Tamandua tetradactyla: one gene and its partners. The protein of the gene in region 1 interacts with the protein of each later gene in a biochemical or structural test. Links are inferred from orthologs where the notes say so. Each region holds a gene or a part of one and is shown in the gene's direction. Other genes may lie near its edges. The genes, in order: IKBKB, MAP3K1, TNFAIP3 and NFKBIA.

The links.
Region 2: of the proteins of IKBKB (region 1) and MAP3K1, one has a biochemical effect on the other in vitro, tested with the Homo sapiens proteins (3 studies listed by BioGRID and IntAct). The link is inferred for Tamandua tetradactyla from reciprocal best matches to the Homo sapiens genes IKBKB and MAP3K1.
Region 3: of the proteins of IKBKB (region 1) and TNFAIP3, one has a biochemical effect on the other in vitro, tested with the Homo sapiens proteins (2 studies listed by BioGRID and IntAct). The link is inferred for Tamandua tetradactyla from reciprocal best matches to the Homo sapiens genes IKBKB and TNFAIP3.
Region 4: of the proteins of IKBKB (region 1) and NFKBIA, one has a biochemical effect on the other in vitro, tested with the Homo sapiens proteins (58 studies listed by BioGRID and IntAct, with this or other methods). The link is inferred for Tamandua tetradactyla from reciprocal best matches to the Homo sapiens genes IKBKB and NFKBIA.

The regions. Positions count from the first base shown.
Region 1 is NC_135329.1:17,816,744-17,824,312, forward strand, and holds the start of IKBKB (inhibitor of nuclear factor kappa-B kinase subunit beta), read left to right. Parts: upstream 1-4,557; 5' UTR 4,558-4,710; intron 4,711-4,887; exon of another isoform or gene 4,888-4,977; intron 4,978-5,376; 5' UTR 5,377-5,395; coding exon 5,396-5,500; intron 5,501-7,569.
Region 2 is NC_135335.1:103,417,118-103,425,051, forward strand, and holds the start of MAP3K1 (mitogen-activated protein kinase kinase kinase 1), read left to right. Parts: upstream 1-4,932; 5' UTR 4,933-4,939; coding exon 4,940-5,415; intron 5,416-5,536; exon of another isoform or gene 5,537-5,724; intron 5,725-5,964; exon of another isoform or gene 5,965-6,034; intron 6,035-7,934. UniProt on the Homo sapiens protein: Component of a protein kinase signal transduction cascade. Activates the ERK and JNK kinase pathways by phosphorylation of MAP2K1 and MAP2K4. May phosphorylate the MAPK8/JNK1 kinase.
Region 3 is NC_135351.1:38,077,307-38,085,209, forward strand, and holds the start of TNFAIP3 (tumor necrosis factor alpha-induced protein 3), read left to right. Parts: upstream 1-4,896; 5' UTR 4,897-7,797; coding exon 7,798-7,903. UniProt on the Homo sapiens protein: Ubiquitin-editing enzyme that contains both ubiquitin ligase and deubiquitinase activities.
Region 4 is NC_135340.1:18,276,610-18,284,336, forward strand, and holds the start of NFKBIA (NF-kappa-B inhibitor alpha), read left to right. Parts: upstream 1-4,712; 5' UTR 4,713-4,813; coding exon 4,814-5,040; intron 5,041-5,699; coding exon 5,700-5,808; intron 5,809-6,153; coding exon 6,154-6,364; intron 6,365-6,649; coding exon 6,650-6,738; intron 6,739-6,862; coding exon 6,863-7,123; intron 7,124-7,476; coding exon 7,477-7,524; 3' UTR 7,525-7,727. UniProt on the Homo sapiens protein: Inhibits the activity of dimeric NF-kappa-B/REL complexes by trapping REL (RELA/p65 and NFKB1/p50) dimers in the cytoplasm by masking their nuclear localization signals.

The DNA.
Region 1 (7,569 bases):
CTTTGCTTTGTATATATGTTATACTATACGATTAAAAAAAGTTAAAAAAAATTGAAAAAACAATACAAAACAAAAAAAGCCCTGTGCTGCCCACTGGATGTCCCCCCAACCCTCCCGCCACCCCACGACGATGGCAGGTTCATGCTTGCTGGCCCTAACCCAGATTGGGAGTTGTGGCCTTGGAGAGCTGGGCTGCTGTGCAGGAGAACTTGGGAGGGATCTGTCTCTTTGCTCAAGAGCAGGAGGCCTGAGGGGCTGGAGAGGAGAGGGAGTGGAGAGGGGTTGGGCAGGGTGGGGGCCCAGGAGCTGGACAAGGGGAACTTTTGAGAGAGGTTGTCGGATATTAGATCTTAATGTGTTTGTGGCAGGCACTATGATATAAACCCTTCCATCGCTCCAAACCTCCGGTAAAATCTGTTGAATATGAAGTTCTTCTTTAAATGATTATTGGATAAAATCAAGGAGTAGGGCTGACTTCCACATCTGGATAAGGAACAGAAATCACAGGCCCAGGAATGAAAAATGACACATAGACTGATCCAATTCCTTCAATATACACATCATCGCTGAGCACCTACTGAGCAGTCAAATGTTTGCTACTACTGTTATTATTACTGTGTGGCCAGCACGACGTGATGCTAGAACAGCGGAATTAGAATAGACAGGGGACTGACAGCATTAACTGCTGGGAGGCAGGCAACCGACAGTAAACAAATAACATGCTAAAAGTAGTGACGAGTGCTATGAAGGACTAGATGGGGAGAGTGTGGTGACAAAATAACCGGTCATGTAGGGAGGAGGACCTATTTGGAAAGGGTGTTTGGGAATTTAGTGAAAGTAGGAGTCAGAATTGGCTGAGTAAGAAACATACCACTAGCCTCATGCGCCACCACAGGCCAGCTCCACCACCGCTTACACCAATTCCTGGAGAGATGGGAAAGAGAAAGGGTACAGGGTCTTTTACATCAAGGGGAGGGGAGGGTTTGAAGCGATTTTACTTGAATCATAAGGACAGGAATCTCTGCTGACACCTAGGCTATTGCATCAAAAAAATCATGCAGGCTTAAAAAGTGCCAGGCTCTGTCCTAAACTCTTTACATCTATTATCTCACTTAAATCACATAACCAGGAAGAGTAGATTGTAGATACAGAAACCAGGGCTCAGGGAGGTAAAGTAAATTGTCTGAGTCCATGAAGCCAGAGTCAGCATTAAAACCCAGATCTCTTTCAGACTCCAGGGTCCACGTACATCCAATGCTAAAGAGTGCAGCATTACGGGTCTTTGCACTGGTTGACTGATTATTTAATTCGGTAAATTTTTCTTGAGCATCTATTATGCCTCAGGCACTGGGGATGCAGCAGTGAACAAAATCCCTGAGCCAAAGGAGGAGCTCAGAATTGAGGTGATGAAGGAACACAGCTATCAGCTGATGTGCCCAGTTCATACCCACAGATTCTCCACCACAAAGGATGGGCCCTTTAGTGACTGCTTCCTCTTTAAATGGATTTTATTGGAATAAAAACATGTGTGTGTAAATGTGAAGGGAGCATGCAAAATGATTTCCTCTCCCAAGCCACCCTCCAGGGAGGGTGACCCAGGGCTCTGAGTTTCCAGCCTTCAGTGTTTCACCCAAAATTTGAAGCATGATGACTTGGCTGACTCTGCTTCTCTCCAAGTTTCACCACTGGCTCAGGTCCTGTTCTCAGAGATAGGAGTTGCCTGCAATTTCTTTCCTTCCTCTTCTGCAGCCAGTTCTTATACTGAGCTCTGAAGATCCGAGCTGTGTTGACTCTCCTTTTCAGTCTCTGCCAGTCCACCCCCCATCTCCCACCAACTCTTGCAGAAGAAAGGCAGATTTCTTTATTCCTTTCAACAAAACAAGTTTTTCCAACCTTTCTGGCAGCAGAATTTTTGTTTGTTGAAGGAACAAGCCCTGACTTGCAGAGTCCTCAGCAGGGCTGAGAGAAAACAAACTTGGTACTAGGGTGCCAGGAAAATCCTCCCAAGATGGAGTGCTCTATTTTATTGTCTTGATATCTTCTAAGCTCACTCTTCCTACTCTCCTCTCAGGTGGCTCAGAAAACAATCCTTTCCTCATTCAAAGGAACTCAGGGTTGCTTTGCCCAGCTGCTGTTAAGGTGAGAGGCAGTGTTCCAATAGCAGCAGGGTTTTCGCAAAGGATGCTACAAAAAGATGCTTAAGAAAATCATTGTCTTTGACTTCCTCTGGAATAAGATTTTATTTTAAATGAAACAATATTAAGAAACCTTATCCTCATCACTAACCTACTATACTGCCTCTACAGCAGAACAAATTAGCACCTGAGTTTGTGTTGCCTTGTTCTGATCTCCAGTTACCTGTTGGCTCTCTGTGGGTCTTATGTTCTCAATAAGATTCTAAGTGTCTGTGATGAGACTTGCATTGGTTGAATTCCCTGTGGTCAGCGGTGCCCAGAGCTATGCTATGCCCTCTCCAGTATTTCTTGATTATCCTATAGCTTCTGCTAACTAGGACACTCGGTTTCAAAGCAGGAAGAAGAAGGAACGTTTTTCTGCTGCCATCTGAAAATGTCTTGTTATGAGCAGTCTGCTCACATCCTCCAGAGCAGGAAAGATACCAGACACGGTATTCTGGGCATATCTTATCTGGAAGGAAAAAAGGAGTTTAAGATGATAAATATCTTGGGACATGATAAAATTCACAGGCTCTTTCCTGGCTCATCATGCACTTATTTTTTTAAAAAACTAGCAGTGTATGCGACTTTATCAAAGAGATTTATGTTCAATTGAAGAACAAGCTGTTCTGGACTCAGCAGAATGAGAACTCAAAGGAAAATGGTGCAGAGTCAACCTTGGGCATGTCAGTGGATATCTTGCTAAATTTCTCAGGGACAGTGATTATCAGTGGTGACAGGATTAAAAAGAAGCTTTCATGATGTCATACATATCCTAAGCAGAGCTCAGCACAAGTAGGTGCTAAATAAATATTTGTTTAATTTGATTTAATTATTAAACAAACACGTATATTGCACTTGGAATATGCCAGGCATCATTACTTTGTGCTAATGAGCTGAAATATGTTCCCCAAAGTTAATTGCAACCTTGGACCCTGTTTAGGAAGACAGGAGTGTCCACTGGGTCAGGCACTACCGTTACCATTACCTCACTGGCCCCTCAGGGAAACTGAACTGGCACCTCCTCTGCCACTTGTGTGCCTTCCTGTCCTCTTGCTGCTCTTAGGCTGGACCAAAGAAAATTGCTGAACTTTAATTGATGCTGTTTGATTTATTTAAAAAATGGCAATTTCATGTGACTCACCCTAATATTGCCTACATTTAAAAGAAGAGGAAATGGAGGCTTGGAGTGGTTAAATAATTTCTCCTTAATTCTTCGAGCTAATTGACAGCAGTATCTGAATTCAAAACCCAGTTTGCCTCCTTAGGTTGAACCTCTTAGCCTGTTATTTTTAATCAAATATTAAGAGCATCTGCCTAGGAACCAGCTACTGGGGGTTAAATCTCACATCTTCCATTTACTAGCCCTGTGGCTTTGAGATGAAGAGTTTTCCTCTGTATGCTTTAGTTTCCTCATTTGCAAAGTGAGGGTAATAATAATGCAGTATTATTTAATTTGTAAAGTAACCTTAAATGACCCGAAATCTAAGTACAGAGTTTAGGAAAGCACCTGGCATTTAGCAAGCACTCTATAAATGTGAGCTATTATTACCACCTTCAGGTTTCCTTTAATCCCTTTTTCCTTCTTGATTAAATATACCAACTCACACACACACACACACACACACACACACACACACACACACACACAACTCCATTGTATACCAACAGAATGCCACAAGATCCAGAAACTTAATATTAAAGACCTTATTATAATGCCAAGTGCGGAGGAAATGAACGCTTAACCTCGGGTCGAGAGCCTTACTGGAGCTGAAACTCGAGTTCAGTTTTATACTACTAGGGTTGGTTTTTTTTTTTTCTTTTTCTTCTTTTTTTTTGTGTGTGTGGGGGTGAGGGGGTGGTCGGGGAGGGAGGTGTCACTGCTGAGAAGTACAGCTGGGATTTGTCATTCTTGATACAGAGACAGGAACCTCCAGACACGGGAGGCGCAGCAGGAGCCCAGGAGGGCAACAGCGATTCTGGCTAACAGTCCCTAAATCAATCCTAGCGGGGACGCGGGGGAAATTCCACCTGCTCCACGTCTGGGAAGCGAGGTCAGGTTTACCCTAGCAGGGCTGGGCAGAGGAAATCCCCCATCCCTTCTGCCCTGGACACCGCTGCAGGTTCCCGGCATTTCCCTATAGAGAACACTGGCGTGCTGGGGTTCGTTTGAAGACTCTTTTATCTCGGGGAGCACAGTTCTGTTCAGTTCCGCCCAGTCGTTCAGGAGCCACCCGCATCCCTCCCGGGGGCCACGTGGGGCGGAGAGCCCTGGGGAAAGGCAGGCTTCGGGGGGGGGGGGGGGGAGGGCGGAGCCCACGCGCCGCCGCGGCCCCTTTAAGAGCGGTGCGCCGGCCCACGTGCCCCATGACGTCAGAGCAGGAAGTGTTTCAGGAAGTCGCGCGCTGCTGGTTGGTTTGAGATTCCCGCATTTTAATGTCTTCTGAGTGGTACCAGAGCCCCTGGTCTTGCTGCCCCAGGCCCCGCCTCCCCAGCCCCGGGGAGCCTCTCCCCCGCCCCGCGTCCCTGCCGACAGGTGAGTCCCACGGGCGGGCGCGGGACCGAGAGCGTCGTGTCCACTTGGAGACCCCGCTGGTCCTCTGTCCAAGTCCACTTGTCCGTCTCCATCCTCACTTGAGGCTCTGGAAGAAACTTCTGTCGAGTTTAAAAGTCGGGGGGCCACGGGTTCGAGTTGGGAGGCCCAGGAGAACAGCCCCGGCCTGGGGATTCCAGGTGGCAGCTTAGAGGATGGTGGCATTGGGAGGGAGCCGTGATTCTTGTAAAGAACCTTGCAAAGAAACAGGTGAGCGTGGGGAGCCCAGAAACAAGACTCTCTCGTCCCCTGTGGGAGGATGCGGGCAGGTCAGCCGAGGATCCCCTTTGGAGGTCATGGAGTGTAGGGCATCATCTCCCTTGAGTGACTTTCCTCTTTACTTCCTCCCACGAGAGTGGGAGGATGGAAGGTGATGAGAGAGAAAAAGTTTGCCACCAAAACCAAAACACAAACTAAAAAAACAAAAACAAAAAACCACACCAAAAAAATCCCGGTTTATTCGCTAAGTAAAAAGCAGTTCAGTTTTTTTCTTCTCCCACGCTAAAGGGCAAGTCCATCTCTTACCTTCTCCATCCCCTTGAGCAGGGACCTGCCCCATTTTTTCTTAACCATAATAACCCTTTGCCCCCCATCCCCAATTGCTTACAGAGTTATCAGGACGTCAGTAATGAACTGGTCACCTTCCCTGCCAACCCAGACATGTGGGGCTTGGGAAATGAAAGAACGACTTGGGACAGGGGGATTTGGAAACGTCATCCGATGGCACAATCAGGTAGGGGCTCTGTGCAGCCCGGGAAGGGGTGGGGGTGGGGGGCACGCTTCTCTCACTGCCCCTTGGCACTGCAAATTTCTACCCCACACTGTTCTGGGTAGGTGAATGGTGCTAGCCTTTGGTGGTGGAATTCTTAGCAGTGAATGAGAAGAGGGACTGGGAAGGGGGTTTCTAGGGGCAGCTAAGCTGACTTTTTAGGTTAGTCTCCAATTTTAATGGACCGCACCACCATAATAGATAGTGAAATAATAATAACAATAAAGTGAAGCTCTTGGCTCCAATTATGTATATTTTAAACTTATGCAAGTATTAGAATGTCATATACTGTTACATGCTAATATATAACTATTATAAAGCACCCAAAAATAGGAAAATTTTAAGGATGACGGTAATGAAATAATATTTTAAAATATTTTGCTATTTGTGATGTCTTCTCAGTATCATTTACAGTATCTTACAACGTGAAATACCTGGATCTGCACAGAAGTTAAGAATGTCATTAAGGATAGTGGATGAAAATCTACACTTCAGATTTAGAATTTTGAATTATTTAGACTGATTTCTTTTTGGATTTCATCAGATCCTCATTTTTTTTATTCCTGCTCTTTATAATGAGCTACTTGTGCTAGAAGTGCCGGTTCTACCATGTCCCTCCTTGCTTGTGTAGGTATGATATGTCCTGAAGTTCTCTGCAGGAATCTCTTTATGCTATTTGTTCATTTTGAGAGTTATTGTCTTAGTTTGCCAGGGCTGCAGTAAGAGCTATCCCAGGCTGGTTGACTTACACAACAGAAATTTATTATCTCACAGTTTTGGAGGGAAGAAGTCCAGAGTCAAGATCTCTTGCAGGCGGTGCTTCCTCCAGTACTTGAGCCTAGTGATTTGCTGGTAATCCAGAACTCAGTCTCCGCCTGCCACCTGGTAGTCTGTCTCCTCATCCACCTGATACCATCTGCAGATTTCCTTTGCATATAAGGACTCCAGTCATATCGGATTAAGGCCCACCCTGTTTCAGTTTGGCTTTGTCTCAATAGGATCTTCAAAAATCCTGATTACAAGTGGTTCACATCCACAGGACCAGGGCTTAGGACTTGAACATGTCTTTGAGGGAGGGTGGGGGCCTGAATCAATCTGTAACTGTCAGTTTTACTTAGACTGGATAATGCATCCATAATGCTACTTCACCAGGGCGCACATGACCTGCAGCGTGTCTCCATAGGCCCCTGGCACCCCTCTGCCTGTGGAATGCCTCCTTCCTCAGGATATATCAAACATGGCATGTTACCTTCTGACAAATGACCTAAAGAATGTGCCAACATCAGTTAATATTAGAAGAGCTTAATTTATTTTTTATTTTTTTATTTTTCGATTCCATTAGATTATCTTGGGCAACCCCTGGGGTGCATAAACCTAGTTTGGAGACGATTGTCCTAGAGGAACCCTGACTTAAGTCACTCACCAAATAGCTGAAATTAACTTCCTGCTCCAAAATTCAGAGCCATTGTATTCCTTGAAGAAAGGCAGCTATCCTTTTAATCAAGGGGGCTGTTGAGCACCTTTTCTGACTAAAGGGATGACAAATTGTACTCTACTCCCCAAGAGCCTGGCTGCAGCCAGCACTGCAAGACGTTGAGGTAGCTGGCCAGCCATGGCAGAGGGTCACTCCAGAGAGCCACTCTCCTTGGCCATTGACTTGGGAGACATTCTAGGCCCTGCCCTGAATCCTGCCAGCTCTTGACTGCATGGAAGAATACGGGATCCAGAGCTGGAAGGCAGAGGTGGTAACATTTTCACCCCCCTTGTGGAAACTAGTACTTCAGCAAATCCTTGGCTGAGGAGGCCTTAGAAATACCACCTGCTTAAGTTTGTCCAGATTATAGTCTAGCCAAGGGCTTCATTTTAAACCCAGAGAGCCAGATTATGCTCCAGCACCACGTATAACTGGGCTGGGTGCCTCTGGACAGGCCAGTGCTTTTAAAAGTCTTTTGACTACAGCAAATATCTCACTGCAGCTTAACTAGAGACATCTTGGTTTCCTTTGAAAAAGAGTTCTGTCCAAATGTGCCATA
Region 2 (7,934 bases), on another chromosome or scaffold:
TGGCTTAAATTTATTTGAAAGGTTAGCTACTGGAAGTAGAAGACTATTTCCTTCTTTGTTCCTAATTTATATAGATAGTGTTTTTTACCTATTTCCTGAGCATGTACATGTAATTTTTTTTTATTATACACTAATCTGGCCTAATGAGGCATCTCACAGAACATAAAACTCATAGGTCTTAGATACTGTGACTCTAGTGCTGTCCTGTCCAATATACCAGCCACTACCCATATGCAGCTATGAGCACTTGAAATGTGGCTAGTCCAAATTGAAATGTGCTGTAAGTAAAATACACACCAGATCTCAAAGACGTAGTGCGCCCACAAACAAAAAGAATATAAACAAACTCAATAATATTTTATATTGATTAAATGTTGAAATGATAATATTTTGGATATGTTATGAAAAATAAAATATATTATTGAAATTAATTTCACCTATTTTGTTAGGTTTTTAAATATGGCTATTAGAAAATTTTAAATTACATATATTACTATTGGACAGCAGCTGCTCCAGTGGATGCCAATTTTGTATACTTGTTTAACAGTTTTGGCCCCAGAACAATTCAAATGAATTGCAAAGTGAAAGTGCAAACGTTACAAAAGATTGAAGTAGTACCAAACTTCTTGGATCACACACAAAGTCTGGTCAATAGAGGATTTGACAGAGTTGGAACAGTGAACTACAAAGGAAGGGAAAATTGACAAGGATACCAATCCAAAGAAAGTAATCTGAATATTTCAGGAGGTTCTTGGGAAAAATGTATTAAGTCTTTGAATATTTTTGCAAAAACTATAGTCCCTATTAAGCCATTAAAGTCAGCTCTACACAAAGGATATCTCATCATACATCAAAAACCAGCAAACAACATGGATCATTCAAAGAATTCAAAGAATCAGTGCAGAGTTATAAGCAGAATTTTGTTACAAGATAGATTAAATTTAATAGGTTGTAGTTTTATTTTTAAATCTAAAATTCCAATCCAACTGTATTTTATTATTTACTTTGAAAACTGGATTCTTATTTTAAGTACATGCAAACAAATGCAATATGTTTAAATGGTTGGTTATGAAAATGGAAACATAAAATAGCTTAAATATTCTACTTTCATTTAAAACATATAAATAATAGAGTTTTGTTTGGGGTTGGTTTGGGACTTTTTGCCAGTATTTGACTGCTTAGTGTTCCACACATCTTTCTCATGCTTACAATGTTCAGTTTTACTTTCTTTGACACCAAATGAGAAGTGATAGTTACTTACAAAGTAAATTATTCTGAAGCTGAGAACTTTTTTCCAACCTTCTACAATCATCACACCCACAACTAATTTGATAGATTTGTTTTCAGTGACTTGCCTTCATTCACTCTTTCGAAGCATTCAACTTAAGTTTTTGTTGGAACAACTTTCTTTTGGCACTCATCTACCCATGCTTATTAATAATCAATTTCCTAAAATTTAATTAAATTTCATAAGGACAGTTATAATAGGCTAATCAGGTTTGGGAGCAAATACAAGTGGTTCCTGCAGGGCCCATGACTCACCAGGTGGAAGCAGATGTGGGCAGGTGCATACCAGCCACTGGCCATGGACATTCATTGGGCCCTGTCACCCCTCAGCAGGTTGTACATAAGGATGATGGGTGTGTGTTAATGAATGCGTCAGCTAAGGGGAGGCTGGCTGACTTTGTACTATAATGTCACCTACAATGCCCTTCTGGGGGGACTGGTTATCTACAGATGACAAGATTTCAGGACTCAGAACATCTAGAAACACCTGGGAAGTATGGTGTCTAGAAAGAGCATAGAGAAACTAAGTCCCAGCCCTACTCTGCAAGCATTTCCTAGTAAGTATTTTTTTTTTTTTTTGGTATGGGCTAGCACCGGGAATCGAACCCAGGTCTCCGGCATGGCAGGAGAGAATCTGCCTGCTAAGCCACTGTGGCCTGCCCCCAGTAAGTATTTATAAAGCATGGCAGAACACCAGCTTTTGCCCTACTCTCAAGTTTACATTCTTACTCTTATGCCTTCCTAAGACATAGATCTCTCAAACAGAGGCATGAATACATATGTACATATTGGTAGATCTGACTTTATTAGAGTCAGCCTAATAACCACAAGAGAAAACTCTTTGTATATTTGTAGTACGTGCTTAATAAATATATGATGAACAATGTACAGTCTGCACTATTTCTGCCACTGCATATTAAGTCTGTTCATTTCAACATCAGAGATATTTGTGCACAACGAGGAAACGCACAAACATTAAACTAGATCCTGCAAATGAATGTGATGTAGGAACTGAAGTGCGTCTTAGGTGATTCCCAGAAGCACTAGAAGCAGTGATCTGTAAAGCACTGCGTAAAGGTTACAAAAATTGTTGTGACATAAACGAAACCACTGCAAGGTTTGTATCCTTGAGTGAGGATGGAAATAGTAACTGGAATATTCAGCTCCAGAAGCAATCTTTGAAGTCTCCTTAATGTCATTAAAGAAATCAAATTAAAGCAACTCAGAGTGTACAGAATAGCTTGATAACTGACCTATATCTCTGTGCAGTAATATAGAGATCCAACAAACACAGAAGCTACAGTCTTACCCATACTTAAAACTCAGAAACCATGTTAACAATTCTACGCAGTTAAATTCTCAAAGAAGATGTTGTATTTAACGTATGGCTTTTCAGTCATGCAGGTCCTTTGATTGTTTTTCTCTCTTTAAAAAGAAAAAAAAGTCAGCTTGTCAGTGTGGATGCCTAACGGCAACCAGAATATTTACATAAAAGATTAAGAGTAAAATGATTCAAAACACCAAAAACTTGGGACAGACCATCAGTCAGGTTTCTTGTTAGGGGTGAGATGGGGAGTGTTTGGTGTGCGGTAGATTGAGATGGTCAGAGAAAGTAACTAGCGTTGCATGTGGTACCCCTCTGCTTTGGTCACAAGGACATATAAAGAGCAAAGGTAAATGTTTTGCTGGAGTCCAGTTTTACCTTTGCAACTGTGCCTAAACTTCAAAATTGGGACAATTTTGAAAGGCTTCACATTTCCACTCAATTTTCTCACTTACCTGAGGATGTGTGTGTGTAAATTTAAAGGTTTTTAGATCTAAATAGGAATGTGGAAAGTTTATCCTTTTCAATTTAGGAGTTAGTGGGTGTGGCAATCCCGGAAGACCTGGGAAATAACTACTGTTTGGGTTGAATGATACACTTGGCTACCATTAAAACAGCATATAATTATAGCCTAAATGTAGACTTGAAATTTTAACAGATTTATCCAAACTTTCAAAATTTGTACCGTTGGACGTAACTACCTAAAACTCTTATGGCAGCTGGTGTAGCACCATTCAAGACACCGAGCTAATATAAAATCAGTACCCTTAAAAAATTCGGCTCCGATATCACATTTATACCTGGAAAGAGGGCTTTCATTGTATGTATTCTCAAGAATTCAAAGGAATTATTACCTAGACAGCTCAGGCTTTTGTCTAAGTATGTTTAGACTAACAAGAAAGTTCTCTTTCTGCATGACACTCCCCCCAAGCAAGCAAGCAAGCAAGCAAGCAAACAAGCAAGCGCGCGCGCACACACACACACACACACACACACACACACACGTCAGGTCAGGTCTGTTTAATTTTTCACAAAACAAATCTTAGGGGCACTCCTTCTGTCTTCTGGGAGATTTCCCAATACAGAGAAACCGTCTTAAGGAAAAGAAGGGAGAGAAGAAAAACAAAACAACTCTACCGAGCTTTTCGAAAAAACATGAACATGTAAACGGTGATTTTTCCATCCCAGGGCACCGTATCGCAGGGATTCTCCTGGGGGTTGGAGTGGTTCAAACGCCGCTGCTGACACCGCCAGGCCAGGGGGTGGGGGGAGGAACGCGCTCCGTCCCCCGACCCCGCGAGTAAGAGGGCCGCGCAGCGAGGGGCCCCCGGGGGGCGGGGAGGGCCGGGGCCAGGCTGAGGACCGCGTTGTCGAGCACTTCCTGGCACAGCGCTAGTTCCTTCTCCAAACGTGCTCTACGTGGTCCTGTACTCGCCTGCCTCTCCCAGCGACTGAGCCGAGGGAAAAAACAAAGATCCGTAGGGAACCTGCCCTTCCGCGTCCAACCGGGTTGGGGATGTCTCAAATCAGTGATTTCAGGATGTGAACAAGGTATTCCAGAAAACTTTGAAGTTTTGCTCTTTATGGTCTACGAGTGGTGGGGGACACAAAAAAGGAAAAATGTTTTTTAAAAACGCAACTTAATACTGTCATGGTCTGCGGCTGCACGTCCGCTGAACGCTGGTTTTCTTTCGCCGTGCAGCAGGCGACAGCCCTGGCGCCACCTGCACGGCCCGTACCGGGCGGGAGGAGGGGCGGGGGGAGCTGCGCTCGAGTGCCCCGACGCCCACTGCAAAGGACAGCGCGAATGACAGAGTGCAAGCCCTCTTCCCTGCGTCCTCTTCAACGCACCACAAGCCCAGGTTCACACTAAGTATTTATTTCGGGCGCTGCAGCCGCTGTCGGACGAGCTCCGAACCAGCCAGCGGGATACTGCGGCGGAGATGACACGGCGCGACAGCGCCGCCGAAACCCCTCCTCTCGCCGGTGCTCCCGGGGACTACCTGGCGGCGCGGCGGGCGCAGCGCTTAGAGCCTACAGCGCCCCCGCTGTAGTCAGCGCCCAGCCCACCTCGCCCCGGCCGCGCACAGCTCACGCCCTCCAATCTGCAGCGCCGCCGCCGGCCCGCCCTCCGCCTCGTCGGCAGGCAGGACCCCGCGCTGCAGCCGGCCCAGGCCACCGGCAGAACGCCCGGCGGGCCGCGCTCACGCAGTTGGCGTAGGCGGCCTACGCTGGCGGCGCAGTGCCCGCCCGTCCGCCCGCCCCCCGCGCTCTCCCCGCCCCCTCCCTCCCTCGCAGGGGCCCAGCGAATGTAGCCCGCGAGAGAAAATGGCGGCGGCGGCGGGGAATCGCGCCTCGTCGTCGGGATTCCCGGGAGCCGGGGCGGCGAGCCCCGAGGCGGGCGGCGGCGGGGGTGCCCTCAAGTCGAGTAGCGGGCCCGCGGCGGCCGCGGGGCTCCTGCGGGAGGCGGGCAGCGGGGGCCGCGAGCGGGCGGACTGGCGGCGGCGGCAGCTGCGCAAAGTGCGGAGCGTGGAGCTGGATCAGCTACCGGACCCGCCGCTCTTCCTCGCCGCCTCTCCGCCGTCCTCTTCCCCGTCGCCGGAGCCCGCAGACGCCGCGGCGAGCGGGAGCAACTTCCATCCTGAGGCAGTGCCGCCGCCCCACGGAGCCTCGAACCGCGGCGGCGCCCACCCTGCGGAGCCGGCGGCCGCGCCGGACAGCGGCGCCCCGAACCCCGCGGGGGCCGAGTCGGGGGAGAAGCGGGCACCCGCCGCCGAGCCGCCTCCTGCAGCGGTCCCCACCGGGTGAGCAGCGCGGCGGGGGGCACGGCGGAGACTTGCGGGACGAGTGGAGGGCAATGAATGAATCCCGGACGCGGTGCACGGCGTCCCCGGGGCTCGGCGCAGGGAGGGTGCAAGCCTCTGGCCGCGACCTGAGGTCTCTCCGCCCCCGGGCATACACCCCCTGACCCCTCCGGCGTCGGGCGAGGCGCCCTGGACCCGGCCTGGGGAACTGGACAGGGGCCCGGGGCGGGGACGTGCTGGAGAGTTTGTTATTGTTTGCGGACATGTGACAGGCGTGCGAGCTGCACTGCAGGCACCCGTGGCGATAAGGTGTGGGGGTCCCGGCTTTCTCTGCGGGTCTCCGGGAACTGGGGCGCTCGGAGGAGCCCGGGGCGTGAGCCCCCGCGCTGCACTCGGGGTGTTTCGAGTCCCGGGCCCAGGGGGGCGGGGAGCTGCCCGGCGGCGGTGGCCCCAGACTGGTGTCCCGGGGTGAGGTCGGAGCCTTCGGGCGGGCGGAAAAGGGGCGGGGTAGGTGGGGAGCGGCGCCGGGGGCTCGAGTGCCGAGGCAGGTACCGCGGGTCGGGCCGGGCCGGGGGCGGCGTGCTTCCGAGCACCGGCCGCAGGGGACTCCCGGTGTCCGGTGGGTAATGCCTGTCAAAACTCGCAGGACTTGCAGTCTCTCCTGGCTTTTTTCTGATTGCGTCCCCCAAGGGCTCCGAGTGTTCTTGGGAACGCGAACTGTCCGGGAAGACGTGAGTGACTTCTGTTTGCAGTTTGCATTTGGCCTTTGAAGTTTACATTTGGCTGAGTGGTGTAAGAGCCGGGACCGGATGTGTCAGCCATTCAGTTTCCAAGCGGTGGTGACTGCACGCCGCAGCCCCTCGGGCGAGGTTCGGGAACCGCGGCGCGGTTGCGGCGCTTCCAGCTCTGTGCAGCTGCGCGGGCCGCCCGCCGACTGCCGAATTCCTGGGGTCACAGTACTGGGAGCTTCGGCTCAGATAAGACCCGTGGTGCATTTGAAGTACGATGTATGTAACATAGTTCAGACGAGCGGTTCATGGCCTGACCCCCCCCCCCCCTTTTTTTTTGGGGCAACTGGAAATTTTTATGTTAAAGGAAATACACTAAGTGTGACAGCCTTCATTCCTGTTTTTGAAAAAGATCTGACCAGTGTCTGCAGAGCACAGAGTCTTGGTGGGGTATTTCGAGTTGCTGCAAATGTTTTTGTGAAAGTCACCCGTTGCCCTGTAGAGAAGTACCAGACCCGTACTATGAGTCGTGTGAAGTTCTGCAGGAGTGTCTGTAATAGATTTGTATTTCTTGTGAGATGAGTTTAACAGTAGGAACCTTTAGTTTGGGTTGATTTTCTAATGTGATTTGGCGCTTTTTTGTGAGCTTGATTATTTAAAATCGCCGTTCGTTTATTATTTGCAAGCGCTTTCCCCGCCCCCACCCCCAAAAAAGAACTAAATTTTAAAATATGCCCAGGACTGTTTCATGTCTAGATTGGAAGAAGGGAGATTTGTGTGCACTTGTACATGTAACTCAATCAGAGTTTTATTCCTCTGCAGTTTCCTGTTCCATGCAGATTGCACTAAAACTTAACTGGGATAATTCTTTGAAGACAAATTGTTACCACCAATGTATTCCAGATAAAAATTGTAAACTTGAGAAATTAATTTTATTTCTTCTCATGAGACTTAACTCTTTGGATACGGTAATTCTTTAGTAATTACTTGACATTCTACTATTGAATTGTGAATACAGTATTAGAGTAACCTTTGTGAAAATAATATACAGAGGTTGTTTAGTGTAGTTCCTTGACTCAAAATAAGAGGACTAAGGTAGAGACAGAACTGAGGGACTGAGTAGTCCATGCTTAATTTTTATGTTTTACAACCTAAGCTTTTTCCTGTCTTTGTTAAGGGGTGAATTAAAATTTGCAGTCTGTGCTACACTGGAGTAGTTAGTATAATCTTTTTTTTAAAAATGATTTCATTAACCATAATGCTATTTGTTCATCCCAAATGTCATCTCTAAATATTTTATTTATGGTAAAATAGTGATTCTCTGTCCTTTTAAAATGCATTGATTTTTCCAATTTCCTTGGTGATGGGATTGAAATTCACTTGGTTTGCTTGGACATAAGCACTCTAATTATAAGCAGAGTAATGAAATTTCAGTTGAACTTTACATTATACTTTTTGACAGTAGTTGCATTCGTATTTTCAGGAGGAAAATCTAATGTTGAGATTTTGAAATATTTTTATTTGAGAAGAGCCCCTCTGTCTGAAGGCCTGATGTATTTTTTTAAAGGAGAATTTTGTAATTTTGATTTCAGAATTTTCTTTAGTTTCTGATCTTGGATGTAGATTCAAAGTTGTAGAAAATACATTTGTGAGCTATAAATGGAAATTTTTAAATCTTCTTCATAGTAAAAACTGAAATCAGTAAAAGTTTTGTGCCTGTAAGTGGCGCCCAAGGGTTTGAAATTTTTCCTTTTATTACCGAATTAGGGGCTTTTTCTTCCCATGTACTGT
Region 3 (7,903 bases), on another chromosome or scaffold:
GGGATGGACGATGACAGATACATATCCAGTTCTCACGGCATTTCATTCTAGTGTGGAAAAGATAGATTAAAAAAAACAGACCAATAAACAAAGACTTTCCAATTGGATAAATGCTGCAAAGAGAATGAAACTGAACAGGAAGGAGGTGTTGGGAAAGACTTCTCTGATTAATGACATGTGAGCAGAAAGCTGAATGCCAAGCGGATGGGAGAGCAGTCCCTACAGAGAGAACAGTAAGTGCAGAGGTCCTGTGGCAGACCAACCTGAGCTCAGCAAGATGAGGGAACCTCAAGACTCACCCCTGCTGAGTTATTTGCATTTGCAGCTCGAAAAGAACTTCAATTTAATTTAAATTTGGATTCCTATTTGTTGAATAAAATATCTACCAAAAGATACTTTATGATGTTCTACTGAAGCTAAAAAGAAAATCATGGCACAAGCGTGCATGGAAATGTTCTAAAGGAAGCAAGTATTCATCATCGGAGGATGGCTGCTCTTCCATGGTTTCTGGTCAGGCAAGGACCAAGGGCCTTTTTGGACCTTGTCCCCATGTAGAGATAAAGGTACTTAAATGTGCCATGGAGATAAAGGACATGCTTAGGTAATGGCAAATTCCTTTCGATAGCCAGAACAAGTATGTGTCCTTGAGCCCATTATCTTGAAGGATGATCTCTGAGTTTCTAGCTGACTCTCAAGAATAGCTTGAAGGGTTATGCTATGTTTTGGTTAATCTTAAAGTTCTAAAACAGACCAGAAGAGCCAACTACTGAAAATAGCCTATCACAGAATGCAATGTACAGCGATCTAGGCCAAAATCAGCTCAAGAGACTTACACACCTCCAAGACGCCTTAAAACCAAACAGGGATGGCTACAGTGAGAGGAAGTAGGAGTGGAATCATGTGGATTCCATGCGTGCCAGGGAGTAAAGGAAGGGAGGTGGGAACATTTCATGTAATGGAGTTGCCCCCCCCACCCGCCATGATGTTAAATTCCTGGCATGTCTTACAACCATGGACTCTCAGAATCCTGGATTTATAGTAGCGCCTTCTGCAGCCTACTCAGGTGCTTGAGATTCCCACCATTAAGCCTAAGGAGTTCTTTCCCAAGAAACGTAATGCAATAACACATGGTAATCTGCTCGAAACAAATGGACATGACTGATCTTATTAGATGAGTCAGTTGCAGAAAGCTGGGCACTGGGAGAAGGAAAACGAAAGGGTCCCTTTTCATGGAGATGAAGGGTGGGGGTGGCAAGCAGAGCAGGACTACAGGACCCCAAACTGGACTGAAGGGACTGATGGACAGAAGGAGAGAACGGGGCACGTCAAAGGGAAGATCCCGGTGGCCTGCCCTGTTCCGGACGTTCCCCTGGGGAGCATCCGGCTTACCTCCAAAGCCAGCACTGACCAGTCTGTTCCTGGAACCCTGTTTCAGGGCTTTCCTGTCAGGTTCATACCTGGGCATTCGTAGGCACCACCGCAAGAACTGAAATGAAACCAAAAACTGGATCTTTATATTCATGATGTAAAACAAGATTCCTTGCCAAGTGTTTCAGCCAAGTGTTGACAGGAAACTAAGCCAGAATTCATAGAGGGATCGGATTTTCTGACAAGTTTTGGATTTCAGCACACTGTGTTTTAGGCAAAGTGGAATAAGAGGAGCTGTCCTAGGCTGGAAGCCAACTGCTTCCCTCCCGGGGGAGGGTCTTGGTTCCCGTTGGGTTAGCTCCCCGTCCACCCCAGCAAAGCCTGTCAGGGGTCTGAGGTTCCCCGATAAGAAGCAGGATCTCCAAAGAATTGGGTATTCATGTGATGATGAAATTTACAGCCTTATTTCCCAGTTCTCGTTGTCCTTACGGCCCACAGCATCTAGTGTGTTCTCAGAACTAGCGCTTGCAGCTGCCCTAAGTAAAGGCCAACCTTAACACTTCAGCCCTCTCTGAGCTCAGCCAAGAGATCCTGAGGTTTGAAGCAGGATTCAAAGCCCTCCTCAATCACTAAAGTGCTATACTTACATAAGGTTGTTTCCAAAATATGTTTATTGTGAATCTTCCTTTTGATAAAGCACAATCCCAGGAAGGAGGGGTCAGGGGCAGTGCGGACAAGGGGCACAATGGGTTTGATTTCAGTTTGACCACGGATCCCAAGACCTGGGGTTCCCCATAATTTCTGGAAGGCCTTGTCACTGTCTCTTAAGAGAGGCTCGTGAGCTGCGGCTTGAAAAGAGCCAGATTTGGGTCCCCTTCCCCTTATCACCTATTGGCCTCTCTTCAGTCAGGTGGCTACTGCTTCCCCGCCCCCCTCCCCAGTATCCTGGGAGGCCCCTCCTGGGAATTATGCGGCATAAGCTGCAGGCTGCAGGAACAATCCACAGACTGTCCCATCCCAGAGGCCACGCATGCTCACTGCCACAACTCATGCCATGTGAACGCTGGCCCCGGGTAGAAACTGACATCTCCCAGGAACACTCCCCAACCCTCGGCGTGCTCCAAAGCCACTGTCCTCCAACAGGGAGATGCGGTTTCCTTCTGTGTCCACCAGGTGTTAAAGAACGTTCCTTCCGCTTTGCAGCACTCTGTCCACTTTGATAAGGTCCACAGCAGAAATTGAAGCCCTTTGCAAGGCTGTTGGGCACTATCTCCTTGGTTTCACTTCTTCCCACAAATTTCCCTAAATTTTATATCCCCTCTGCCATCAGGGATCTCTCTTCCCTCTTCTACCCATTCTTTCTGATTCACCACTAAGAAAATACTCCCTTGGTCTTGCCAAGTGCTAAGTACTCGGAAAGGAGAGCTAAGTTTACAGCCACAGGCAGCCTGACCCCGGAGGTGGAAAGAACAGCAGAAACTAGCCAGGGAAGGGCAGGCAGGTCTCAGGACACCTCTTCACAGGGACCATGGCTCAGTGGTAGAGTCACAGGAAACAGAGGAAGGGAACAAAGCTGAGGGCTCCAGACCTCTCACCTTATTATATGTACTAGCGGATACAATGGCAAAGCAGCTACTTCGGGGCAGTGAGAAGTAGGAGACCTAAAACGGCCTCTCAGCCTTGGTCTGTCATCTGAGCCCCCCCTTTCTAGAGCTCATCAAACCGGGGGAAAAGACACAAGGCAGAGAAGGGACCGTGGAAGCTGCTGGAGGAATCCGGGGGACTTGTCAGGGCAGAACCAGTAGGAGGTGAGAGAGAGCAGGCGACGTCTGTCTACAAAGAAGCATGAGGTGAGAGGGGTCCACTGGCTGGGATTCTGGGCAGGACGCTCAATAGCCAATTTCCTCTGGCCTCCAGCAAGCCCAGGAGGCTGTTCCTGTCAGGATTCCTGCGGGCTCAGTGCCTGCGGTGGGGGCCGTGGGGGCCCTGAGACTTTAAATCTGCGCAGGGCCCTTCTGGACGCTGGGGGGTGACCTAGAAGTTAAGACCCGCCAGTTTGGGCTCCGGGGTAAGACAGACCCTGTCCTGGTCGCGGTTCTGCCACTGACTGGTGGTGTAGACTTAGGCAGCTTGCATAGGCTTCTTCAGCTTCCATAGCTTCAGCTGCAAAGTGGAGTTGTTGCGGAGTTTAAAGGGCAGGCCACATTGCAAACATTTAGTCAAGAGTCTGGCATTTGGTAAGTTCTGGATAAATGTCGCCATTGTAATACTACCAGCCTGAGGTGCCAATGCTTGAGTGTGGACAGCAGAAAGCATTTGTGAAAGGGAAGGGGAGAGATGCCAGCAGTTGGGGGGGGGGTGAGGGGGCATCTTCAAGTACCCCGAGTGCACTTAAGGGCGCAGTGGTCCAGAGGTTTCCATCTGCTCTAGATCACCCAACCTGGGGAACAGGTGCCTGGGCCACCTGGGCATAGAAGGCACGGAGGCAGTTAAAGGAGCCCTGGTGCCCTGCCCCCAACCCACAGCCCTCAGGGCCAGGTGCGCTGGTTTCCCTACTGCTTCAGCCCCCAGGGGAAGATTAGCCAGCAAGCAGCACCTGGGGAGGGGGCTAGCACGGTGTTACCAGTCACAGGTACTTGGGGGTGAGCTGGTTGTGAGAACATCTAAAAGGACACCCCATGAGGCCTTGGGGACAGGCAAGGACGATAATGGACCTGGCCGCAGAAATGGAGAGGGGCACCGGAGCCGGCTAGGGCTGGGGGCTGCTCCGGTGCTCACTGCAGCTCAGCCCGGCCTGGCCTCGGAGGAAGCCTGGCCTCGGGGGTGTCACTAGGTGGTCACCCCGCCAGCCCGGCCCCGGCTAGCCCATCCCGTGCTCAGCCCCGAGTTCTGCAAGCCGTCCCGGCTCCCGGACACCAGGGTGGTTTTTCGGGTTTCTCTCTTTTATTTCCCTTCTTTTTCTCCACAGCCGCTGATTTTCTGCAGAAAAGCAACGGAGAAAAAGACCCGATTTCGTTTCCCGTTCCCATCACCGCGATTTCCACATGGATGTGACGTGGGGCCCGCTTCCGAAATGCCCAGGTGACTCACCGGGGACCCCCGGGCGGGCCGCGGGCTTTCTCGGCGGGGCGGGGCGGGGCGGCCCCCCGCGCCCCCTGGTGGCCGGCGAGGGCAGCGCGGGCCCCGCGGCGTCACGTGACTGGAAAGTCCCGAGTGGAAAGCCCCGGCGGGCGGCGGGCCCTAAAACAGAAAGGCGAGAATAGAGAACTGCCCAGTCTGCAGCCTTCGCGGCCCGCCGAGCGCCAGCCCCGCAGCGAGCCCGCGGGGGCGGAGCGGCGACAGAGGGCGCCGGGAGACCAGCGGCGGCGGCACGACCCTCCCCGGCGAGCCCAGCGGCGAGCGCACCCGGCCCTGCGTCCATGGGGCTCCCGAGCCGGCCAGCACGCTGACCAGGACCTCGGATCGCGACAGGGGGCCGCGACAAGGGACCCCGCGCCGTGGCCACGCGCTGCCGGTGCGTACTTGGCGGGACTCTCGGGAGGGGCCCGTCCGGGTTGAGAGATGCCGCGCCAGATGTTGGGGTGACAGCCCTGGGCGCCCCCCGGCGGTCTGTTCCTTGCACATACCGCCGAGAACCTGAGCCGCCGCTGGCGGGGGGAGCGTCCGGCTGGTCGGCGGGCCGCGGGCGCCGAGCTCCAGGAGGCGTCTGTTTGGGAACTAGGGCGCTGCATGCCCGCCGCCACGTAGCCTTGCACGACAGCCCGGGCCTCTGCGCAGACCTTGCGGCGCCGGCCCGTTCAGGGCGGCGACCTCGACGGGGAGGGGGCTTAGGTCCTCACCCAGCCAGGCACAGGGTGTGGGGGCTCCGGTTCATTCACCTGTCCTGGGACCGCGGTCAGACGCTCAGTGCCCTGTGCAGGGGGCGGGAGGGCGTGTTCACGCTCTGTGGTTGCAGTGGGGTCAGGCAAGTTTGCATGCAGAAGTGGGTCGTGGCCTGCCTTTGGGGGATCCAGCCGAGGAAAGCTGTGCAGTCGGTCTTTGTCAGCCCGGGACGTCCCACATCCTGCCACCTGGTCGCTCAGGAAAGTCGCGGTGTTAGGAAAGGAAGGCGCACCACTCTCCCAGACCGCTGGGTTTTCAGTTCTCCCTGCCACTGATGTGTCCTTGGAAAGCCTGCCGTCCAGCGGCACTGGGCGGCGTTTTGCTGGAGACCCTGATGTCCCAGATTACAGAGCAGCCTGGCTCATGCCCCAATCTCATTGGCTGAATTGCTTCTTTGATTTTTTTGCGATTCTTTGCACAAGTTTTGAATTTGGGGATCTAGTGAGGAATTTGTTGATAAATAATTCATAAGTATCCCCATTGTGGACAAGAATATGTGCCCAAAGTAGAAAAATAAAACAGGGGGACAGAGACTTTGAGTGATAAGTTCTATAGCATCTCCTTGGTCCTAGTGACAAAAATTGGGAATTTATCTTGACGTCAAAGTGAGGCAACAACTGTTTAAAAAAAAAAGTTACCAGTCATATTGCATTCCTTTGAAGGAGGCAATATTGTTTGTTATGAGAGTTTAATCTATGAGTGAGATGACTCTGGCCAGTGATACCAACATTTGCATGTCCTGCCTATGGTCTGAGGCTCTCACTGTTTTAGATATTTGCAGAAAGATCTTTAGGTTCTGAGGAGAAGAGAGACAGAGAAACAAGAGGCTATTCTTAGCTTGTCTAAAAGCATTTGGCTGCCTGTCTGTCTGAGAGGCCTCAGGTGTGGTGCTCCAGGCAGGCATAGGAAGACCTGGCTTCTAGACAAAGCTGTCCCCCCAGGGATGGCCGAGTGGCCTGAGCAGGTCCCCTGCTTCTGGGCCTCCATTGCCTTAAGTACAGGCTTGAAGGGCTGTGAGGTTTCATGGAGGGGGTGTAAGGTCAGCATCAAGTATGCACCTGACTTCTACAGATGGTGCTCATTAGAGGGATGGATGGACAGATGAATGAATGAATGACATCGTGAAAGGGACTTTAGCTCTGCCACTGGGAGAAGTGTGCATGGTATTTTGTCCCGTCAGTGTTTGTCCCTTTGTTATTATTTTGCCCACTTTCATCTGCAGCAAATGACTAACCTCAAAGGACAGTCACCATCTTCCCAAGAGAATGACTTGTCCCAGGTCCCACTCGGCCATCAGATTAAGAATCTCAATCCAAAATTATTCCCTGCTCTTCAGAAGCAAACTCTCTCCTTTGAGTGGGCCATGAGAGGTTAAAACACTTTTTCAATGACTTGAAGAGATCCTGAACCCACCCCAGAGTGGCCTCCCTAAAACCTGGGCTGCTTCTCTTCCATGCTTTGTGGGGTCAGTGTCCTCCTCAATGGAAGCTTGACTTGCCTGCACAAAGAGTGCCATACAGGGATGGGATATGCAACATCCTGTGCCCTGAAATCACCTACGTCTTCTTCCTGAAATTAGGATATGTGACGAGGCAGCCTAGAAGGGCCGGTGAGGAGGAGCTGGGTCTCCTCAGCTACAGGCTGGAAAGCTCCCACGTCCCGCTGCTTCACATCATCCCACTCGGCTGGCGTGGGCTGTCTTTCATAAGTCCTGGCTGGACCTTTCTTCCTGCTTCCCACCCTTCATTTCTTCCCACCGGTTGGTGATGTTTGTAGATTTGGGGGTGAAAGGCCAGGTGGGAAATGCATCCGTGTGGTCACCTGGAGAACGATGATGACATTTGCTTGGCAGTCGAGTTGAAATCACTGCACTCCAGTGCCTGCTCTCAGAAGCGCATAGCTCATTATTCTGTTATTTTCTGTCCTACGTATTATTCTGACGTTGTGGGGCTCGGCGGAGAGGTTCTGAAGGACAGCCGACTGCTGGTGCTGACTAATTGCAAGGCAGCTTGCTGGAAATAGGCTTCTTGGTTGATTATAAAACAGCCTGTTTTAATTCTGTCAGTCTTTGGTGCAAGGAGAAAACGTGGATCAGCAGCCAAGGTGACAGCAGAAAAACCGTAGGCTTTTCCCCCAAATGTTTAGTGTCCTAGGACAGGAAGAGAGTGCTTAAAAGAAAGAAACGAAGACTCTGTGTCAGAACAAGGATTGCAGGGTAGGCTGGGAGGGTGGGTGGGGGGAGGGCCTCCAGGCTTGCTGGCCACACCATGCCTGTCACCTGTCACCCAGGGGCAGTCCAGGAGGGCGTCAGAATGAAATGGGAGCTGAGATGGAGGAGGCGGCCCAGTACCTGAGAGACATGACTGAAAACCCGGGTTATTCCCCTCCTCCTCCTCCTTCTCTTCCTCCTCCTCCTCGGTGCCCACTCCCCACCTCCCTGCTCTTGTTTAGACTAATCTTTAAAACAGTCTAGTGTGAGTTCATCTTTAGGGCTGGCGAGTGTCCTGGAAATAGAGGTGACAGATCTTTTGCCCACCGGTTAGGGTAATGGCAGGCTCAAACCCTGGGGTGTCCTGCAGGCAGATATGTAGGAGTGATGGCAAAGCTGGGCTAACGGGGTGGTTTTTCCCCCCTTCTCTTCAGGTGTGCTGGG
Region 4 (7,727 bases), on another chromosome or scaffold:
TTCATATGTCCCAATAATATTCTTTTTCAGCCTTCTCACCTCTCTTGCCGGATCCTGTCCAGGATCATGTAATGCTTTTAATTGTCATTGTTTCTTTAGTTGCTTGCTCTTTTTCTTTTTTATTATCATGGGAATGTTTATACAATATAAACTTTTCCACCTCAAGCACTCCCAAGCCTACCACTCAGTGGAATTAATCACATTCCTTATATTGTGCTATCCTCACCACCTTCTATTACTAAAACATTCTTATATCCCAAAGCAGAAACCCTATACACATTTTAAATTAACTCCCCATTTCCCCTGCTCCCTGTCCCTGGCACTCTGTACTCTACGAGTATGTATATTCTCCGATATTTTCTTTGTGTTACCAAGGAGCTTAAATTTAACATCTTAAATCTGGAACAATCTCATTTGCTTTGATACCGACCTAACTTCAATATATACACAAATTATATTTCTATAGCTCTCTGTCTCTCCACATTTTGTAGTTCCTGTCACAAATGAAATGTTTTTACATTATGTCTTAAACCACTGATTTCTCTTTATGTTTTATGAATTTGCCTTTTAAATTCTGTAGAAAGCAAAAAGTGGACTTACAAACCAAAAATACGATAGTACTGGCATTTATATGTACTCATGTCATTACCCTCATTGGAGATCTTAATCTCTTCATATGGCTTTGATCAATTGCCTATTGTCCTGTCTTTTTAAGCTGCAGAACTCTCTTTAGCATCTCTTGTGGTGCTGGTCTTGTGGTGACGAACTCCTCCAGCTGTTGTTTATCTGGAAATGTCTTAACTGCTCCCTTTTGAAAGACAGTTTTGCTGGGTATAGAATTCTTCACTGGCAATTATTTGCTCTCAGTATTTTAACTAAGTCATCCCAATGCCTTCTTGCTGCCAAGGTTTCTGATGAGAAATCCGCACGTAATCTCATTGAGGTTCCCTTATATGTGACAAATAGCTTTTCTCTTGAGGCTTTCAGAATCCACTATCTTTGGCATTTAACAGTTTGATTATAATATAATGCAGTGTGGGTCTATTGGGGTTTATCCTATCTGGAGTTTGTTGAGTGTCTTGGATAGTATGTTCATGTCTTTCATTAAATTTGGGAAGTTCTCAGCCATTATTTCTTTGAATATTCTCTCTGCCCCTTTTTCTCCGTCTTCTTCTGGAACTTCCACAATGAATATATTGGTAGACTTAAAGGTGTTCCACAGGTTCCTTAGGCTTTGTTCATTTTTCTTTCTTCTTTCTGCTCCTCAGATAGAATGATTTCAATTGTCTTCAAGTTCATGGATTCTTTCTTCTACCACTCCCAATCTGCTGTTGAACCCCTCCAGGAAATTATAAATTTCTGTTATTGGGGTCTTCAGCTCTATTTTATTCCTTTTCACAATTTCTATCTCTCTATTGATAATCTCTTTGTGCTCATCTGTCATTTTTCTGATTTTTTAAGTTCTTTGTTCATGTTTTCCTTCAGCTCTTTGAGCATTTTTAGGACATTTTTTAAAAGACTTTGTCTAGTATGTCACAGGTCTGGTCATCCTCATTGATGATTTCTAATACCTTAATTTTCTCCTTTGCCTAGGACATCACTTCCTATTCCTTTGTATGTTTTATAATCTTTGGTTGGAACCTGGGCATTTAATGCTTTAAGGTGTTATCACTGGAATTTAGACTCTGAGGCATCTATTTCCTTAAGCTTGGATCCAGCTAGCATAATGATAGAGCTTTCTTTAAATGCCAGGGCTAAGGGAAAAAATAAAAGACGGGGAAAAAAAAGAAAACACTTTTCCTAGTCTTTACAGATTGACCTCTATGAGTGCTTTTTCTTCAATGCTTATCTATACAAAGAATTTAGTGAATAGCTCCAGGCCAAAGCATGCAACCTCCTTCCTTTCTACCCACGGTCATGTGGCCCTAGGAATTTCCCTGTTTACACAGATACAATGTCCCCTCTTCCCTAGGAAAGAGCCTCCTCAGAGTCCCAGGCACAGCTCTGTATGTCCTAAAGCCAGCAAACCTTTGCCCCAAGCCTCCAACCAGCAATCCTTTGCCCCAGGTCCATGGCTTTATTGGCTGCCCATAGTATGTTGTAGGAGAGCTCCACATGCTGCTTCTTCGCTCAGGGCAAGTTCTGGGACACCACCAAACTGTGCCAGACCTACAGGTTCTGAGTATGTGCACAAGCGTTAACTCTGCTCCCTCTGAAACTGGGACTAAGCATCCACGCCCTGGGAGGATGGGCTGGCTCAGAGCCAAGTTGGTGAGGGCTGGGAAGGTGGCCAGCCAGGATACCAAGAGATTCTAGGCTCTTAAATTGCCTTTTTCTTGATTCAGTGCTCATCCTGTTTCTACAGTCCTTTAACTATTTTCCACTAGATCTTGCTGGTTGTTCAAAGCTTCTGTGGGGACACCTATAATTCTCTTTTTACTTTCTAAATATGAGACCTATAATTCATATTTTTAACTCTTTAGCTAAAAATCCTCTTCTAAGATATACTTTGTAAATAGGGCATTTAGTGTTTGCCATTTCTATAGCTTTTTTTTTTTTTAAAGAAGTTACTGTTCCCAGCTAGGGGAACACCTACCCTCTGTTTTACCTAACAGTTGGAGCAGAAAATACTCGAGTAACTTCCAAATTATAGTATATTCAGTCTCATTTTCACAATGTGTCTTCAAAATTGTTAATACTATGACTGCTTTGCTAAATGGTTAATATATTGGGATAGAAATTAGGTAAACTACCATGGGATGTCTGGGTAAATTTCTCTTTATTTCAGTTTCTTTTTAGGATTAACAATGTGATACATAAAGTGTTGGAGTCCTTACAAAAATTTATACCACAATATGCCAAGAGCTAGGGTCTCCCTTACAAATCAGGGTTAGAGATGCATTTGTGGCGACATAATATAGTTTATTAAGCTGGAAAAAACCCTAAATAGCATTAAACCCAATCTTATTATTTTAAAAGCATGTATGCTACTGAATAGTTAACTATCTACCAAAGTAACATACAGTTAATTAGAGGCAGAGCCTGGGGTTGAGATGCCCTATTTTTAGTCTCTATTCCACTTTGCCTCAAGAATTGTATATTTGCATATCAAATGCCTGCAGAGAGGATGTAGTCTATCCTGACAGTTTTCATTTTAATATATTATCATTGCCACTCTGAAGGCTTTATTTCTTGATTTTACTTTTTGTCCCCTCAGATTTCCTCTCTCAACCCCATTGACCCAGATTCCCCACATTGGCATGTTGGGGGTGGGGGTGAGATGTGGACAGGGGGAAAGTTTCACAGTAATGGCCAGTCAAGGCAAAGATGATTGCAGTAATCACCAGAAAGCTCTGCAGAACTGTAGAACCCACCCCACCCCCCCCCCACCCCCCCGGGGCTAATTCTCAAGACCTCTGACCTAAACTGTTTTCTTTTGCCTGGGCAATTCTATAAGCACATGAATTCAATTTATGGCTTGCTGACTTGGAGGTGGGGATAGGGACAGATAGAGTAAGTTTCTATATTTGCAGTTGAAACCAGAGGATGGTGAGCCCAAATCCCTTTCCCTTCTGTGTGGCTACCCACACTGTATGGGTAGGTCCAGCTGTGTCACCCCCCAGGTCAAGAGTAGCAAGCAAGGGCACCAGCGGGGTAGTGTTGGGGCTGCCTTGAGCCCCATACACGCTAGCTAGCAGCTACTTTTGTGGTGGTCCTTATGGTCCAACCTTGGGTAAGACGCTGCTAAACTCATGCTTCAGCATCCTTCTTCAAATGCTCCAGGGAAATTGCCCATCAGGCACCCAGTAGAAGGTTCTGGGCCTATTCCCTGCAGTTGCACAATGCAAATGAAAGAAAGAGACCTCACTGGTTATTTCTTATAGCAAATCTATAACTCCTCCTGCACAGATTCACAACTTGCCTTACTTCAAATGAATTATGATTATATATTGCACTTTCCAGAAAGAGGGGCAGGAGTGCTTGCCCCTTCCCCAGTCAACAGGATTAACAGTCCCAAGGAAATGATTTGAGGGCTTTCCAAGTATTTAGGTTTAAGGCCAAAGCTTTCACAATTTTTACCTGGGAAGGCAGGAAAAGCTAAATGCCTCTGCTCTGCAAAGAGGCACAGCGTTCCTGGTATTGGCAGGAACACAGTACGGCCCGCGACCTAACCACCTGACCGCCCTTCCCCGCAGACTGAATTTTGGGGAAGCGAATCCCTACACCCAGCCATCATTTCCACTCTTGGGTTTTCAAAAGAGCAAAAAACGGAAAGGCCCTGCAGGTTGGCAAACACCGGTGTGGATCCGCCCAACGGGTCTGCGTCCTGGGGATCGCAGCGCAGACGACCCTAAGTCGAATAAATCAAGGGAAACCCCAGGGAAAGAAGGATTTTTGCAGAGGACAGAATTACTGAGTGCAGACTGCAGGGAAGTACCTGGGGGGAGGGGCCCTTGTCAGAAGGACTTTCCAGCCACCCAGCGCTCATCAAAAAGTTCCCTGTATATGACCCCAGTGGCTCATCGCAGGGAGTTTCTCTGTTGAACCCCAGCACAGGGTTTAGGCTTCTTTTTTTCCCCCCCAGCATAGAATGGGGCCAGTTCTCATTTCTGGTCTGACTGGCTTGGAAATTCCCCGCGCCTGACCCCGCCCCGGAGAAATCCCCTGCCAGCGCTTATAGGGCGCCGGGGCGGCGCTGCCGAGCCACAACAGTGCTAGTCCGCAGCCCCAGCCGCCAGCGACACTGCGAGGAGGCGCGCAGCCCGTGGCCGAGCGCACCTGGGGAGCCGCGCCTGGAGACGGAACCCGCGCCATGTTCCAGCCCGCCGAGCACGCCCAGGCGTGGGCCATGGAGGGCCCCCGGGACGGGCTGAAGAAGGAGCGGCTGCTGGACGACCGCCACGACAGCGGCCTGGACTCCATGAAGGACGAGGAGTACGAGCAGATGGTGAAGGAGCTGCGCGAGATCCGCCTCGAGCCTCAGGAGGCGCCGCGCGGGGCCGAGCCTTGGAAGCAGCAGCTCACGGAGGACGGAGACTCGTAAGTGTGGCCGAGCCGGGGTGGGGAGGGTGGGTGCGCGCCGGGCCTGCAGCGGGAGCCGCCGGGGCCGCGGCGCAGCAGGGCAGGGGCGCGGCAGCGACCCCGGGGCTCGGGCACCGACCGCGAAAACGTTCGGAGCTGCACGTCTGCGCGGCGGGGGGAGGGCTGGGCTTGGGGCTCGCGGGCCCGGCTGCAGCTCGGCGACGCGCTCCGGCGTTTCCTCACACGCCCCCCCTCCTCTGCCTCCTCCCCTTCCCCTCCCCCCTCCTCCTGGAGGCTCGGGCCTCGGGGCCGGGGGCGGGGCGGCGGCGGGGACGCGAAGTCCTGGGTTGCATAAGGGGTGGGGGGGCTGGGTGGGCAGGACTTTCTGCCCCGCTGGCAGGCGCCTCGCAGCCCCGAGGGGAAGTACAGGGCGTTCCGGGCCGGCGCGAGGGCGGGGCGGTCTGGCCGGCGCCCGCCGAGGAGGAGGAAGGGGGGGCCCGGAAAGTCCCTGGGCGCCTGCCAGGAACACTCAGCTCATAATAACCTCGCGGAAAACACCGCGGCCTCGGCCTCCAGAAACCCCGGCCTTGCGCAATCCCCCGCAGCCCGCACCTCCCTGGGCCCCACACGGTGCACTCATCACCCCCTGGTTTTTTTTCCCCCTCTCTTCCCCTCAGGTTCCTGCACTTGGCCATCATTCATGAAGAGAAGGCCCTGACGGTGGAAGTGATCCGCCAAGTGAAGGGGGACCTGGCGTTCCTCAACTTCCAGAACAACCTGCAGCAGGTGCGCTGCTCGCCTAGCCCGGGGCCCTTTCTGACCCTGTGATGGAGCTGGATTGACAAATTGGCCCTGACACAATTGCCACCAAATCCTTTCTAAACCAACAGTCACTGATCTTTAAAGGCCCCGGCCTTTTACATTTTAATCAGCAAATATCCAACAGAGAAAAGCATATCCCATGGACTGGGTGATTTAGAGTCCACCTGGGGCCTCTGGTGTTTTCCTCGCCCCTTGGCCTGTCTGGGAGGAGCAGCACCCACCACTGGGAGGGGCCTGGGGTTTCAGGAGACCCTGACTGCAGGTTTGGCCCATGGTTTATTCTGTTTCTATTCCTTTTTATTTTTGTAGACTCCACTCCATTTGGCTGTGATCACTAACCAGCCAGAAATTGCTGAGGCTCTTTTGCAAGCTGGCTGTGATCCTGAGCTTCGAGACTTTCGAGGAAATACCCCCCTGCACCTTGCCTGTGAGCAGGGCTGCCTGGCCAGCGTGGGAGTCCTGACGCAGAGCTGCCAGGCCCAGCACCTCCACTCCATCCTGCAGGCCACCAACTACAATGGTACGCGAGTCGGCCTGCCCCGCCAGGGGACGGGTGGCATGGAGGAGGGGGGAGGTGGGCCAACAGTCTGAGTCCTGGTGAGACCCTAAACTCTCAACATGAGAAAGTTTGAGAGAATAGACCCACTATTTGATGCCTTTATAATGTTAATTCAGACCCCAAATTCGAGATCCTTCAAATTTAGAAGACATGGCTGATTGTCCCTTAAAAGAATAAGTGGAAGGTTCTGTTTGAGGTGTGAGGCTTGAAACAAATGGTTAAACTTTTTTCCTTTTGTTCTTCTAGGTCACACGTGTCTACACTTAGCCTCTATCCATGGCTACCTGGGCATCGTGGAGCTCTTGGTGTCTTTGGGTGCTGATGTCAATGCTCAGGTGAGTGCTTCCTGCTCCCAGATGGAGTGAGTCCGGCTTTAGAGCCCCTTTCCTGAATAAGACTTCTTGCAAGCAGAAATCCCAAATTCAGCTGTAAGCATCTCTTAATTCTCTTTGGTCTCAGGAGCCCTGTAATGGCCGGACTGCCCTCCACCTTGCAGTGGACCTGCAGAATCCTGACTTGGTGTCCCTCTTGTTGAAGTGTGGGGCTGACGTCAACAGAGTTACCTACCAGGGTTACTCCCCCTACCAGCTCACCTGGGGCCGTCCAAGCACCCGGATACAGCAGCAGCTGGGCCAGCTGACCCTGGAGAACCTTCAGCTGCTGCCAGAGAGTGAAGATGAGGAGAGCTATGACACGGAGTCAGAGTTCACAGAGGACGAGGTGAGTCTCCATTGAACTTCTTCAACACCCACAAAAAAGATGAGGGGCCCGTCACCTTCCCATGCCCCGAGAGCTACTCTTAATCACAGAGTCTCAACAATGAAGTTCTCAAACTTGAGTGCAATAACACTATCCCCGAAGCGTGTCTTTTCTGTTTGTAGCTTAACCTTTTTAGAGGAGAGGAACATTAAAGAAAAACTCCCTCAGCCTGCAAAGTTCATTTATGTTTTGGGTTGTTGAGAATGGAGTCCAAGAAGACTTAAATTATTTCCCAATAGGAATCCTCACTGTCTTCCCAACGTCTTGTTAAAGTTCTGGAAGTTTAATGTGCTTTTCTTCCCTCTCATTTTTAGCTGCCCTATGATGACTGTGTGCTTGGAGGCCAGCGGCTGACATTATAAATGGAACATGTATAAAAGAACCTGGACTTGTATATTTGTACAAAAGGAGAGCTTTATTTTTCTAAAAAAAAGGAAAAAAGAAAAAAATTCAAAGGGTGTACATAAAACCACACTGCCCACTGCTTGGCCCAAAATATTTTACTGTGGTGGATCAGCCTTTATTTTTGTGAATTCTATGAGTGAGACAAGAAAAATCCTTGGAC